Danio rerio: one gene and its partners. The protein of the gene in region 1 interacts with the protein of each later gene in a biochemical or structural test. Links are inferred from orthologs where the notes say so. Each region holds a gene or a part of one and is shown on either strand. Other genes may lie near its edges.

Evidence for each region.
Region 2: the proteins of glrx5 (region 1) and bola3 form a complex in vitro, tested with the Homo sapiens proteins (4 studies listed by BioGRID and IntAct, with this or other methods). The link is inferred for Danio rerio from reciprocal best matches to the Homo sapiens genes GLRX5 and BOLA3.
Region 3: the proteins of glrx5 (region 1) and bola1 form a complex in vitro, tested with the Homo sapiens proteins (2 studies listed by BioGRID). The link is inferred for Danio rerio from reciprocal best matches to the Homo sapiens genes GLRX5 and BOLA1.

Annotation. Positions count from the first base shown.
Region 1 is NC_133195.1:10,649,782-10,655,171, reverse strand, and holds the start of glrx5 (glutaredoxin-related protein 5, mitochondrial), read left to right. Parts: upstream 1-2,094; 5' UTR 2,095-2,143; coding exon 2,144-2,438; intron 2,439-5,390.
Region 2 is NC_133182.1:70,717,848-70,723,029, forward strand, and holds the start of bola3 (bolA-like protein 3), read left to right. Parts: upstream 1-1,931; 5' UTR 1,932-2,097; coding exon 2,098-2,127; intron 2,128-2,283; coding exon 2,284-2,413; intron 2,414-4,428; coding exon 4,429-4,517; intron 4,518-5,182. UniProt on the Homo sapiens protein: Acts as a mitochondrial iron-sulfur (Fe-S) cluster assembly factor that facilitates (Fe-S) cluster insertion into a subset of mitochondrial proteins. Probably acts together with NFU1.
Region 3 is NC_133191.1:50,673,331-50,678,772, forward strand, and holds the start of bola1 (bolA-like protein 1), read left to right. Parts: upstream 1-2,191; 5' UTR 2,192-2,263; intron 2,264-5,106; 5' UTR 5,107-5,125; coding exon 5,126-5,442. UniProt on the Homo sapiens protein: Acts as a mitochondrial iron-sulfur (Fe-S) cluster assembly factor that facilitates (Fe-S) cluster insertion into a subset of mitochondrial proteins. Probably acts together with the monothiol glutaredoxin GLRX5. May protect cells against oxidative stress.

The DNA.
Region 1 (5,390 bases):
GCAATTCAGGGTCCGTGCTTCTATTCGGTCTCAAACCTATAAAAGAAGTTAATATGAATTAATCAATGGTTCCTCCGCAACACAATGCTACAACTGTGGCAATTCGAAGTGTCTGAAAGGCGCGCTCCTCCTGCCAGACAATATCTGACTGCCGCTGTTTTACTCTGCCTGTTTTTAGATTGGTAACGGTACAACACAACCATTACCGCCGTGGAAACAGGTTAAGATCTGTCGAAAGAATATCGCACGTAAAACTTCAGTCTGGAGAAGTAACGCCTTTGGATCCTTCAGTCTGATCTGTGCAGCTTCGCAGAGTCTCGAGTCACTGGACAAACAGGAGACCGGACCGCGAGACTGCACTGCTTTAATCATGCCAATATGCGTGCAAAAGTAGGCTATCTTAAGCTACTTACTTCATACAAGTAACATTTATGCAGCCTTCAACAACATGTCTCCTCAGCCCATGCAACATCGTGCAGTTAAATAGAGCTTCGTGAATGAATCATTCACTCAGAGTCGAATCCTTAGACTGAGTCATTTTCACAAACACCGTTGTGTATGATTCATGGACAAGTTAGTTTGAACAATTTAAAATTCTTATTGTGTTTACGGTTAAAATATGTCATATTCGTTTTAAATTAATGCTGTGAAACTACAGGGATAAAGAGTTGGTATTAGCACTTTTACTTTAATAACTTGGTTATAAATTAATTTTATAAAGTATTTTAAGTAAACAATAAAATAAGCCAAAACAAAAAATAAAGATTTGATTTTAAAATGTGTTTTATTTAGTTTTATTGAAATATTTTAACATGCAAATATTATAAAATGCAATTATGTATACACAAAAAATAAACAAACAAGCATTAAAAACACAAATGCACGAACAATAAGTAACAATAAAATAGTCATGATTACATGAATTAATACATAAATACACAAATGGGAAAAGGTATACTATAAGTGCGCACACACAACCATGAAACTGTAAGTTTTTTTATTTTTTATTTTTTTATTTATTTATTTATTTTATTTTATTTTTTTTTATGTGTGCTTGCAAAGTAGATCTTCTTTTAAATGAAATACGTTTATATGTGAGGTTTGGAAGAAAAATCTTTAACCTCAAATCCATTCCCAGCGATACAGTGTGGCATGGGCTGGTTTAGTGATTTAGGGGCTCGCAATTCCAGCCATGGGGCCCAAAAGTTCTGAAATGCAACTTTTCTATTTTAAGTTATTTTTAAATGATTTATTTTGCTGTTTCTTTTTCTTATATCTCTCAATCACTCATTTTCTATATTTTGTCTCAAGCCAAAATAATAACAACATGTAAAGCATCTTGAAAACGTTTTAAATGAGTTTTCTTAAAATTAATTCACAACTAAAACTATATATAAAATACGATTTTTTTTTTTTTTTTTAATCTTTACCTAATTTGACTGCTGGACTTCTCCATGACTGAGGGGGTGATACATTTGCGCAGATGTAATAAACAATAAACATTTATTTTTTTATTATACACTCATCATAAAAAATATGACAGAAAATTGTGTTATATATAATTTATAGGTATAATTTATAATTATAGGTATTTATTTTGGGGCCCTCAGATTTCCTTGTTCCCTAAACTGCCGCTTATCTTGCTTATTGATTAAATCCACCCGAGTGTGGATTATTTACCATGGTTTATTTGAAATGAATCGATCAGTTTAAATGAGTCGATTCTAGAAGATGAATCAGTTGACTACCGGAAGAAAAACTTTAGCGTACATTTTAACCGGATGCAAACGCCTCCACTCCACTTCTTTCAGCAAAAACAAACAAACGTGTTTTAGTTACAGTGACAACAAATGCAAGTAGACACATTTAATCACATTTTTTCGCACCGTATAAACTGAAATTATTAGAGATGAAAATAAAAAAATCGTAACATTTCGTAACATTCACGACTGACGTATTCTTCAACCAATCATAGGGGAGAAGAAAAACCCGACATCCAATAAACTTCACTCGCTGAGTGTTTATACTAGAAGAGGTGGAGCTTGAGTCCAGTCTCCAGTGAGTTCTACGTCGCGGCAAAAGAGAAGTGACAAACGAACTTAAACTGCTTCAAATATCCCCCTAAACCGCGCAGACTTGCACAATGAATAGCGTTTTTAGGTCGACAGCGCGGTGTCTTCGCTCGGCGACATGGCAGTACAAAACCGCGCATAAGAACGGGGAGCTGTCGGTCGGCAGGGCCCGTCTCATGTGCTCCTCAGCGGGACAGAAGAACCTGGAGGAGATGGTGAAGAAGGACAAGGTGGTCGTGTTCATGAAAGGCACTCCGGCTCAGCCCATGTGCGGCTTCAGCAACGCCGTCGTTCAGATCCTCAGGATGCACGGAGTCGATAATTACGCTTCTTATAACGTGTTGGATGACCAGGATGTCAGACAAGGTCAGTGGCTGATGGTCTCTGGGGGTTGGAGGATTTGTAGAGTTTTAAAACTGGTTAGAGTTACATTTTGACTTGGGTGAAGTGCTAATCTCTAGTGTGATTATTCTTGAGCATATAGCATGCTAATCAGAAATAACTAGTTTAAAGGTCAAATTTAAGCTGTCACTTTAAAAAAAAATGTAAGTTATAAGTATATCTTAAGTGTAACGCTTTATGTGCATATATTTGCAAACATATTAAGGTAAAGTTAGTTTTAAATTCAGTCATTATGGCCTTTTCCTTGATAATATAATTTCTGTTAAGTATTCTTTGCAAATACTAAGTAATGAAATCAGCCCATGACTATTAAAGTACATTGTTCACAGACCACTTAATAGTGCTAATTGTGTTTTTAAGTAAGTTAATACTTGCATGTGACTTCAGAATAGTGGTTAAGTTGGTTTTATATTTGGATATTCAGACATTCTACTAAATAATATAATTTCAGAAACGTATTCTTTGCAAATTCTAAAAAGAGAAATTATTTTAGCACCAAATACTATCAAAGTACAGCATTGTTCACAGTGAAATACAGTGTGTTAATGTTGTTTAGTAGTCATACTTGCATGCTAATTCCGATCAAATATTCAAAGTAACATGGTAAATAATATTGAGACTTCTAAATGAACGAATGACCTACACTTCAAATAACAGATCATTTAAATACTGTATATGATGTACAGTCCTCTCTCATAGTACTAAATTAGTAAAAAACAACATTAATAAAATGGTTCTCATCAATTTCTCAATATTAACTAATGAATTGTAAAAAAAAAAAAAAAACTAAATAAAAATAATGACACTTTAATAATTACTTGATTTCTCATAAAGTTTGAAACTTCACCTTATCATCTCAACATTATCAGCTTTTACTGTTAATACATTATCAATATAACAATCCCCTAACAGTGATTTAACATATGAATTAACATAACATTAATCAATATAATGACTTGAGAAAGATATATACAAGTATACAAAACACCACCCATTCTTGTCATAGGACAAATTTTAAACGAGGTAAAGTTGGGTTTATATTCAGTGACAACTTATGATAAGTTCCATATTTTTGAATATTCGTTCTGAAATCATAGAGGTAAAGTTGGTTTTATATTCACTCTGTTCTTATGGGAAACCAAAGCATCATTACATGACAGTGTTCCATTATTTTAGGATGCTTATTCAGACATCTATCAACTATATTGTTTTATTTTAAGTTTAGCATCATCACAAGGAAATTCCTCATTATTATGGGGAACTTTTATAAATGTTATACATCGTTGCACACAATAATGGTTTGGCATCTCTTATTATTACTATTTTATTATTATTTATCAATTTGAAAAAGTTTCTCGTTGCTCATATATTCCATCACCAGTCACAAGATATCAACGAGAGATTTTGAAGTTATAAGTCAATTTAAAAATGATGTTTTTAAGTCCCAATAACCAGAAAATTCTGTATTTTTATTAATCCTAATTTTTGCATGTTTTGTATCTAATATGAGAGATTACTGAGACATTTGTCATGAGGACATTTTTCATTGTTTTAAGGAATGTTATCATTAAGAGGCAGTTTTGAAATAGTTTTGTCTTCTTGTAATAGCACCAAGGAGTCCATTATTGGTCGTTATACTAGTCTTATATTGCTTAATATGAGATCATAAAAATGTTTTTTTTTCCTCATTATTATGTGGTAATATTGCCTTGATGTTACACTAAGTTATGAGATTGAAGCAATTTGTACAAGATAAAGGTACGTTGTTGTTGTTGTTGTTGTGTTTTTTTTTTCTCAGAAGTTTTCCACAAGATACTAGACCTTAAAAGGAAAGTTCACCCAAAAAAAAGAAAAATTGTCATCTTTTTTACTTAGCCTTCACTTGTTAAAAACCTTTTTTGAGTTACTTAATATTTGACAGCTTGTATTTTCATTTGTAGTTAAAATGTATGCATATTTTAAAAAAGTTGAAATAACAAATTATTTAAGTAATTCAAAAATATTTAAAATACCTGCAGATTTTTTTATTTATTTATTTATTTATTTATTTATTTATTTATTTATTTATTTATTTATTTATTTATTTATTTTTCTTAAAACAATTTATTTGTTGATAACTTGGGTCTAAAACTGAATTAGTCCAGCATATGTGTGCTAACGGCAACAGCAGTGCTGTCAGCTCTGATTGTCTTTATCAGTCCAGAGCAGCAGGAAGAATTTGGGGAGTTAACCTTAAATGGCTGAGGTTAGTTTGCAAACAGTAAAGCCTTGACTTGAAAGTTTAGGACCAGGCAGTTTAAAGGAAACAAAGTAGATGACAATTTAAAATGAATGCTACAACATGGTGCAAGTAGCATCCTGTTTAACATAAATTAATAATTAATGTTACTTCTCAAATGCATATATCATTCATATATTATATTATATATATATATATATATATATATATATATATATACACACACACACACACACACACACACACACACACACACACACACACACAATAATTCATAATGAAAAAAAAAATGAAAAAGAGAAATCATGATTTCCAGCTATAAAAGACACAATTTTTTTCACCAGAAAATAGTTATATAGCATATTGTTATGGCCTGAAGGGTCTTGTTTAATTATTATTAGAAATTATCAATTTATTTATTAGATTTTAAATTGTATTTATTTTGTTGACTAGTTGTTGTCTAATTTTATTGTTTTCTATTATTATTTTTGTTGTGGTTTTAGCATAGCCATATTGTTGCATCTATTTTTATACAAATAAAAACAAAATATTATTAAAATATTTAATAAAATCTAAAAAATGTTGCAGTTCTTGTTTTAAATTGATTGTCAGAGTTAAGTATAAAACAATGGTATTATCTGTTATCTGTTAGTTTTACACTCTGAGGAAGGCATTGA
Region 2 (5,182 bases), on another chromosome or scaffold:
ATTGTACCTTGCTGGAAGACCTCCAGTTTTGTAATACTGCTGTAACAGTTCCTCAGTCATTCATTCATTTTCTTTTCAGCTTAGTCCCCTTATTAATCAGGGGTTGCCACAGGGGAATGAACCCGCCAACTTATCCAGTTGTTTTATGTTTTACGCAGCAGATATGGTTCTTAAGTTAAAAACAAAAACAATTGTACAAATTTGTGTGTGTCTGTATTTTTGCAGCAAAACACAAGAATTGATGCAAATACTATGTTTTGAGAATATAGGGGAATTACCAACTTACGTCACACATAATGTCACACGGGTTCAACCGCACATAGTGGTTGCAAATAAAGACCGTTACAATAGCAAACAAGTCATGTTGTGCGGTAGGATGCCAAAATCGGAAAAAATAGAAAACCTAAATTTTACTGTACACCACACTGCTTTTAATGATAGCCGTAGACGACTTTGGCTAACAGCCATCAGTAGAGCTGAATGGAGTGAGGACCTTATTAAAAATGCTCGGCTCTGCAGTTCTCATTTCACATGAGGTAAGTACTCGATTACTTGATTTTGATTGCAGCTATGATTTCAGCAAAAAACGTTAAATATGGTGAATTAAACTGCAGACACTGAATGCTTAGAATGAAATGTAAAAATTTAAGTTCACACTGCCATGCAGGTGCAGTTCACTGTCAGAATGCAGTTGTTTTGCTTGTTGATGATTACCCAGGCCATCATGTATAGCTCCTTCTTCTTTCCTTGTCTTTGGCTAGGCAGAACCTCGGTTTTTTGCACTACAGAGTTTTGAATCTGGAAGTAATGGAACATAATTTCTTGCACATGACCACACAGAACATGTTGGCATCCAAAGACTTGTAGGCCTTTAAATTCTCTCTTGTAAAACCATGTCGAGTTTCAATGAGATAGTTGTATATTTTGGGCTGGATGCTTGGCCATTTCGACTTATCCAATATCCATTGGGAGGGTGCTACCGCAAATGGACCTGTCAGATGAACACCGCTCACTTTAACATTAATTTTGCCTAATAACTGTGTTTAACACTGGGTGACGAGCTGTTTCAATACCCTGAAAGCATTATATAATTATTATATGTAATCAATATAACTTATCTCTAATACAACAACAAACATTCCCTCGCTGTAAATGCTTGCACTCCTGGTTTTTTCTGCAACCTCGCTGCATGCGCATCCTGAATGTTTACAAACTGATAATTCGCTTATAAATGTACCTGCAAAATCTGGCACTGATTATAATGGGGATTATATTGGGTTTTAATGGAAACCTTTTATGGACATTTTTGCCATCTATTATTTGCATATTCAAACTAATAAATTCTAATGGAATATGTCCCAAAAACACACTAGAAAACATTCAAATGTACAGGTTTAAAAGTCAAAATATGATTGTAATTGTTTAATTATATTCGTAACCTATTAGAATCTTTTGTGATGGTTTCCTTTATTTCATTTTGGTTCCTTGGTAATAATAATAGCAAAATAACTATAATAATAATAATTGTATATATGAAAAAAATGTTTTGTCCACATAAATTAATCAACAAAGTAACACTTTAGTTTAAGTATTTTTACTAACAAAAAGTAAAGATTATTAAAAAATATGTTTATTATGCAGTTTATTATGGTTTTATACATCCCTACTGCCCCTATTTCTATTTAATAGCAGTTGTAATTACTAGACTATTAATAAGAAGCAAATTATAAGTTTATCTTGGCAAATGGTTTGGATATTAACAGCGGGAATTGTGCCTTAAAATAAAGTGTGTCCATTAACAAACATTACTCTGAAATGCGACCGCTTCTCTAGTAACTTTGAGAAGAAGTCTGTGAATCTTTTAGGGAACATAGTCAAAAGATTCGAATCCAGAGAAAAGTTCAAATCCCTCACATTTGCAAAATTAATTTACAGTTTGATCACAGGGAGGCGCTAGAGAAATGTTTCTGAAGATCGTGACGACATATTCCTGAGACAGGCGCTGGAATTGAACAGGACATGACTTTGTCAAGTGTATTTTGTGCTCAATATATTTTATGACATTTTGGTGAATTTAAAAACTCCATCGACACCATCATGTCTCTGCTTAGAGCCATCAGACACAACGTAAATATACCAATCCTATCTGTCTTTATTTTGACCGAGGTGTTTTTGTTTGCTGAGCATTTGTTCAAGATGACAGTACATGTGTCGCGTTGAGAGATTAGTTTGCTTGTTAAATATAAGATACACTGTTTATGTTATGTTTCCTTGTGTCTTTAGCCTCAGGTGCTGTGTAGAAATATAATCGCGAGGTCTTTATCCAGTCAGACCGACGGAGAGGTGAGAATCGCACAAGTATTGAAGGAGAAGTTTCCTCAAGCTACAGCTCTTAAAGTTGTGGATATATCAGGTGAGTCTCGACCGACCCTGAATTAAAGGGATAGTTCACCCAAAAATTTAGGTTATGTCATCATTTCCTCATCTTCCACTTGTTCCATACATGTTTGAGTTTCTTCTGTAGGAATAAAAAGTTTTAGGAATATGTAGACTACTGCTGAAAGTTGGAAAAGCAGCTGTCGACGTTTATAATGTGGTAAAGTTGGTTTTATATGTTTACGTTTGTTCGTTTTTTAGCTATGACAACTTGTGACGTTACTTTGAATATTCGGCATGATTCATTTAAGAGATGTTGTACTTTGATAGTCATTGGCGGCTAATATGATTTCCTTGTTCCGAATGTGCAAAGAATACTGTTCTTAAAGTATATCATTAAGGAGAAAGTCGGAATGTTCAAATATAAAACCAGCTTTACCTAAATTACTTTCGTAGAGTTTTTTTTACTAATATGGAGGCCAGTGGCTGCTCTTTTCAACATTATTTAGAATGTTAGGCATTCATGAAAGTTTTGAACCACTGTGAGTAAATAGTGAAGCAATAAATGGAGAGTTCAGATGCAAAACCCTCCAAATAGCAGACCTCTTTTCTTGTAAATCATTATTTTCTATCAGGCTTTTATAATTAGGTTCAGAAGTTTTATTTTATAGCTAATGATAATGTTATTAGCTAGTAAATTAAATTTTTATTTAATTTATTTTCCAAAAATGTCACTTTAGACAATTTTTTTTGTTTTTTAAGAAAGTAGATTTTCTTTTGCGTCAACCAGCTAAATCCACCTCTGCTTTTTTTTTTTTTTTTTTTGTTGCAAGAACCTCTAAATCCACCTATTGGGACAAGACAGTGTAATTAGTTAAAAAAATCACTAAAGATGCAATTAAAAATTATTTTACCAAACATTAAACACCTAAAACTAAAAATATTCAAATCTGTCAAGTAAGTGGCGGTTCATTCCGCTGTGGTAACCCCTGATAAACCAGGGACAAAGTAGAAGGAAAATGAATGAATGAAATCTGTCAAGTAAGTGCATCAATCAATTACATTAAAATTGATATGAATTAAATCTTAATCTGTTGTCATTTCTGATATTTGGGATTTAGATTTAATGTAAATAGAGCAATGTAAACATTTGTAAAAACATTGTAAATCATCAATAACTGCTTTGTCCATTAATATAAAAAGCTTATTAGGTATATAACTATTATGAAGTATAAATCTTCTTCAAGATTAAAAAATTAATCTTTTTAAAAATAGCTTACAATAGCAAATAGAACACAAGGTAGGCCTACTAGTCAAAAAGGGGACACTTTTAAAAGCTGTCATTCATTCCATACTCACAGTCTTTGTCTATTGTTTATCCTCATAGCATCCATACGGGACAAAAGAACGCCATCTTAACTCTGTCATTCGTGAAATGGAGTTGCCGTTTAATGTATAGTTAGCCGGACTCATTCAAAATAGTGTCACTACACAAAAAAAAAAACATTATGAATGCATGCTACACTTCTGACTGTACAGTGTATTGTCTTTTCCTTATAATGCACAGAGTTTTAAGGTAAGGGACGTTTTCATTTGCCACTCACTGACAGTCGGACAAGCTCATCCAATTCCTCAAACTCCATCTTTTAAAATCGAAAGCAGAATAAAACAGTCTCCTCACAAAAGCTGCCGTATCAGCGCACCGCTACATTAAAAACATATGATTCAATTTGCGCCTTCTGATTGGTTCTCGGGATATATCGGCTTTTGCTGTCAAAAGCAAGTGGCATTTAGGGGCTTTTGCCAACAAACTGTTATTTCTGAATGGGCTGATGCTGAGATTTAAATGATTTCAAGCAAAAATATTTGTTGAACATGTACTACGTGCCTAAAGCATTCACTCAGTGTCGTTATCTTATTTTTGGCGGAAATGGATGTTTGGCTTTTGCATCTGAACTCTTGATATTTTAATTTATTTGTTTTAGGTTAATTATCCCTTTAAGCTTCAGATCTTATGTTTAAAGACCTGTAGTAATGTATTTGTAATTTCAGGAGGATGTGGTGCAATGTATGAAATACACATCGAGTCTGATGAATTTAAAGGAAAGAGAACAGTACAGCAACACCAATTAGTCAATCAAGTAAGTAAAAAAGCAAATGGGTTCAAAATACTCGAATAATAGTGCAGTGCACTTTGTTTTTACTCTGTTTTAATTCAATTTTTTATAAACATAGTGTACACATAACATTTACTTAGAATGTTTACAGTCACAAAAATAAAATAATAGATAAATGGTAATAATAGATCAATTATTATAATAAATAAATAACAGTGACTGCTTAAAAAAGACAATGCATTACAATAAAAGGGGAAAAAAGGAAAAAAGTAGATAAATGCATAAATAAACTCCAATACAAAGACAATACCTACAACATAGGCCCTGACAGCATTTTAACAATCAAGTAAATATGTTTCGATTAATGCCTAGGCCAATTGGAAAATGTCTGATTTCAACTGCAAATCTGCAGACATTTTTCTCAAATCTATATATATATATATATATATATATATACAGTTGAAGTCAGAATTATTAGCCCCCTTCACATTTTCATATATATATATATATATATATATATATATATATATATATATATATATATATATATATATATATATATATATATCTATATATACACACACACAGGGCTTTACATTAACTTTTTTGATCACCAGCCACTGTGGCTAGTAGATTTCCAACATTACTAGCCACTTGCCATTATCAATAGCCACAATTTTGTTGTTTGG
Region 3 (5,442 bases), on another chromosome or scaffold:
AACAAATTAATAGGTAAAAAAATATATATTAACAATTTAATAAGAGCCGAAAAGAGAGTTCTGGGAACGTTCTCCTAACCTAGAGGGAACATTCTAATTCTGTAAACAACACTTTTCTGGTTAGAGAACAGAGAATGTTCTGGGAACCTAACACTGTTAGTTGAGATTCTATTTACTTATTTAGTATAAATGTAGCATTTAACAAAAGAACAATTACTAATTATTATAGTCATTTTGTCCTATCTTTCAACACAGAACCAAACTGAAAGCTATAGGAGAATTACCAATCTACATCACACATGAGGTCACACGGGTTCAACTGCGCATACCGGTTGCAAAAAAAAAAGGCTGTCAAAGATATTCTAATAGAAATATATTAGATAGAAATAGTTAAAAAGTCAAAAATAGAAAACTTAAATTTTAGCGTATACCTCACTGCTTTTAATGCCATCCGCAGATGTCTTTGGCCATCAGCCATCATAAGAGCTGAATGGAGTGAGGACCTAATTAAAAATGCTGGACTCTGCTGTTTTAATTTTATATCAGGTAAGTTCACGCTATGCTGAATTATACACATTACTCGTTTTTGATTGCAGCAATGATTTCAGCAAAAACAATTAAATATTGTTCATTAAACTTCAGACACTGAATGCTTAGAATGAAATGTAAAAATGTACATTCAGATACTCTGCCGTAAAGGTGCAGTTCGCTGTCAGAATGCAGTTGATGATAAATTACCCTGGCCTTGTATAGCTTCAACTTCTTTCCTTGTCTTTGGCAAGGCAGAACCTCGGTTTTTTTGCACGAGAAAGTTTTAAATCTGCAACCTCAGGTAATTCGCCATTGGTTATCCTCAAGAAATTAAAATGAATATTGTGACCATTTATTTGCCGCCAGATCAAAATAAATGCTCTGAATGTTTTGATTGAATTTTAGGGTGATGCAAAAGTCACAATCATGTCTTAAATATATCGTTTTAGAAATTAAAGACATAAAACAGTAAAGTAATGTTTAATTCTAGTTTGTAATTATTTTAGCAAGTTCTATCTTTTAAAATTCACATTCAATCTAAACGTCTATACTAAACGTGTTGAAAACGTAAATGTCTTGTCTTAGGTTTAACTTAGGCTAGAAAGCCTACATTCTGTTAAATTACATGAATTATACACCATGAATATGCAACATAAAACGACTAAAGGAAAAATGTCGAGTGGTTTACAGTACTGGATGTTTTCTATCTTAAATAATTTATTCAATTTTTGTATTTTTTGTTTCTTGCAATCAACAAACGTTTATTATTATTATTTATTTTGTCCTTTGTTTGGTTATTTTCGTAATCAGATATGTAAGCTGTTTGCATTATTCAAAGGTTAACGCAGTGCCTACACTTTGCGTTTACACTATAGCCTGCGTTTGCTGTTATGTAAATTCAAATGGTTGTAATACCATGTATCAAGTATCAATGTAATACCAAAAGGTTTTATATCAATTTATTAAAAGACTAAGTCTCCGGCAGGCGAGAATCTAGCCGGAATTGGCCTGAGTGTATTGCTATCTGGGTGTTGTTACAGTATAGGCTAAATCAGGGGTCACCAATCCTGGTACGGGTGGGCCGGTGTCCCTGCAGGGTTTAGCTCCATCTTGCCTCAAAACACCTGCCTGAATGTTTCAAGCATACCTTGTAAGACCTTGATTAGCTTGTTCAGGTGTGTTTGATTAGGGTTGGAGCTAAAATCTGTAGGACACTGGCCCTCCAGGAGCAAGTTTGGTGACCACTGGGCTAAATGTTTACTACAAATTACTTCAAGCTTACCTCAATGAATCATCTTGGCGGTAAACTTCGCGCTTTTCTGATTAAACATAAACCGCCTGCTTTAATTTGATTGGACCTTTGATTTGAGATTTGTTTTGGAAAACTGAACAGATAAGCTTAAAATTGTTTTAAAAATGTTTAAGCCTTTAAAATCACTAACAACATGTTTCAGTCAATACTGTTGTGTTTACTGTCTCTGGAGTTTCCAATAGATATATGATTTATGTAATAATTAATTAAATCCATTTAGTATAACCAAAGCCCCCTTTAATAGACAGACTTTGCAGTATATCCCAATAACAGAACAGCTCGCGCATCTGACGTAACTCCCTGTACAGGCGTTAGAGGGCAGTAAAGTCATTTCAGCTGCTTGCAATCCAAACTGTGAAGGAGGATCTGCCTGAATCGCTTCCTGTGTGTGATACAATAACAACACGCTGAAGAGCAAAGGTGAGTAAAATTATTTTGCCAGTCTGTAATTTGTCATTGTGTCGATTTTAACATATTTTAGCACCTGTTTATATATATTTTTAGACTGGTTGTCATGTTAAGCTGCATTCATTTTATGACATGTCTTACGCTGTTCTTGTAGATATGTACTTGCACCGGTAACGTTAACTTATTTGTTTTTGTTTTAAGATTTCTAACTGATGGCGGCCAATATGTTTCAACCCTATTTAAGCAAGCGTTTGCGGTCTTTCTCTGTTTTGCTGAAGATATAGAGTGTTCAAAGTGTTTCGGTTCACTTCAATAACGTTTCATAAGTCAGATAAACAAAATATGAGTTCTGTTATAGGCTCAGGTATCTTTAATAATACAGTAAAACAAATAATGTTTTAATGAGCATATTGCTGACTTTTAAATCTCGATTTTTCTATCAAAATTCGCAATTTCTAAAGAAAATTTCGAAGTTTTGTAATTGTTTTTATATCACGTTAAGGACATGGTGTTTTGAAGGGAAAATAATAAACAAACAATATATTAACTAAACCTAAATCTGGATATTCATTTTATTTCCCGCTTAGTCCCTTTTATTAACCTGTGGTCTACACAGCGGAATAAACCGCCAACTTATCCAGCTTATGTTTTACGCGGAGGATGCCCTTCCAGCTCAACCCATCTCTGGAAAACATCCATACACTCTCATTCACACTCATACACTATACTACGGATAATTTAGCTCACCCAATTCACCTGTACCGCATGTGTTTGGACTGTTGGGGGAAACCGGAGCACCCGGAGGAAACCCATACGAACGTTGGGAGAACATGCAATCTCCACACAGACACGCCAGCGACTTCCTTGCTGTGAGGCGACAGCACTACCTACTGTGCCACCATGTCGCCCAAAGATGAATATTATTATACCAAATTATCCGAGTTTCTTTCTTCATTTGAACATGAAAAAAGATACACTGATGAATCCTGGAAAAAACAACAACCATTGACTTAGTGTTTTTTGGTTTGTTTGTTTCTTCTATGGTTTCAATTACTTATTTTCCCCCAACATTCTACAGAATATCTTCTTTTGTTTTCGAACTTATTAAGTGTAAGTAAATGGTGGGGAAATGTTTTTTTTTTTGTGAACTGTCCATTTAAAAGCCAAACTTGCATGGCTAGTGGGCTGAAGGTAAATGCAGTTGCCATGGCTAATTTCCTAATTTACATTTACATTTAGTCATTTAGCAGACGCTTTTATCCAAAGCGACTTACAAATGAGGACAAGGAAGCAATTTACACAACTAAGAGCAACAATGAATAAGTGCTATAGGCAAGTTTCAGGTCTGTAAAGTCTAAGAAGGAAAGTATTAGTAGTATTAGTATTTTTATTTTTTCTTGGGTACAGTTTGTGTAATATTCAGAGGCAATTGCAGATTAGGAAGTGAAGTGGAGACTAAATAGTTGAGTTTTTAGTCGTTTCTTGAAATTAGCGAGTTACTCTGCTGTTCTGATGCAGTTAGGGAGTTCATTCCACCAGCTGGGCAGATTGAGCATGAGCGTTCGCGAAAGTGATTTCTTCCCTCTTTGGGATGGAACCACAAGGCGACGTTCATTCACAGAACGCAAGTTTCTGGAGGGCACATAGATCTGCAGAAGTGAGAGCAGATGAGAAGGAGCAAGGCCAGAAGTCACTTTGTAGGCAAACATCAGAGCTTTGAATTTGATGCGAGCAGCAACTGGCAGCCAGTGCAAACGGACTAGCAGCGGAGTGACATGTGCTCGTTTAGGTTCATTGAAGACCACTCGTGCTGCTGCGTTCTGGAGCAGTTGAAGAGGCTTGATAGAGTTAGCTGGAAGCCCAGCTAGTAGAGAGTTGCAGTAATCCAGTTTGGAGAGAACAAGAGCTTGAACAAGGAGTTGAGCTGCATGTTCAGATAAGAAGGGTCGGATCTTTCTGATGTTATAGAGTGCGAATCTGCACGATCGAGCAGTTCTAGAAATGTGGTTAGAGAAGTTTAGTTGGTCATCAATCGTTACTCCAAGGCTTTTCACCATTTTGGATGCAGTAATGGTTGCCCCATTTTATTTAATAATATTTAAAATGACTAGAAAACATTGCTTTGTATCAACTAATACAGCAAATATTATATTTTATTATAAACTTATTACAGTAAAAACAATGTCATTTATAACAGAATTAAACTAGTTTTGCCTTGATTTGCTACCTAATGTCTTCTGCATAGTCCTCTATCCATTGAGTGACATTATTTACTGTACATTTACAAAAATCTGATTCATTTACATAAATTGAAACAAATTTCTGGCAAAGCTTTTTTATAGCTCAACAATAAAACAAACAAGCAAAAAAACTTTACATCATATTAGAAATAACATTCGCCTTCGCCCAAACCTCTCCATCATTCTCACTCTCCTTACCGGTGGTGGGCCAAATCAAAAGTTACAATGGGCCAACTTTGGCCTGCGGGCACTACTTTGGGCATCTCTGATTTAAAGGGATAGTTCACTCAAAAACACAAATTTACAGACACTCAAGGGGGTTTCAGCCACTTAATATATTAGCTTCTTTATTCTGTTGAGCACTAAAGAACATATTTTGATGAAAAAAGCTGAAAACCTGTAACCATTGACTTCCATAGCAGGATAAACCAATACTATGGAAGTCAATGGTTACAGTTTTACAACATTTTTCAAAATATCTTCTTTTTGTGATTAACAGAAGAAAGACAAACAAGTAAATGGTGAGCTAATTATGACATAATTTTCAGTTTTTGGTGAACTATCCCTTAATCACTTGTTTTTAACCGCTTGTCATGAAACTTTAACATCTTGCAGGTGTTTTCCTCCACGCCTGATGCTGTCCAGTGCTCTACGCTGCCTGCGTCCCATCTCCAGCACCCTTGTCTTATCCAGACCTCTCGCTCACCACATGGACCCAAGTGTTCCCCGTCCCGTAGAGACCACCATACGCACCAAACTGAGCAAGGCCCTCAATCCTGAGCACCTGGAGGTCATAAATGAGAGCCACATGCACGCCGTTCCCCCTGGATCAGAGTCCCACTTCAAAGTTCTGGTGGTGAGTCCTCAGTTCGAAGGTCTTTCCTTGTTACAGCGTCACCGGCTGGTAAACGAGACCCTGAAGGAGGAGCTCAGTACCTGCATCCATGCGCT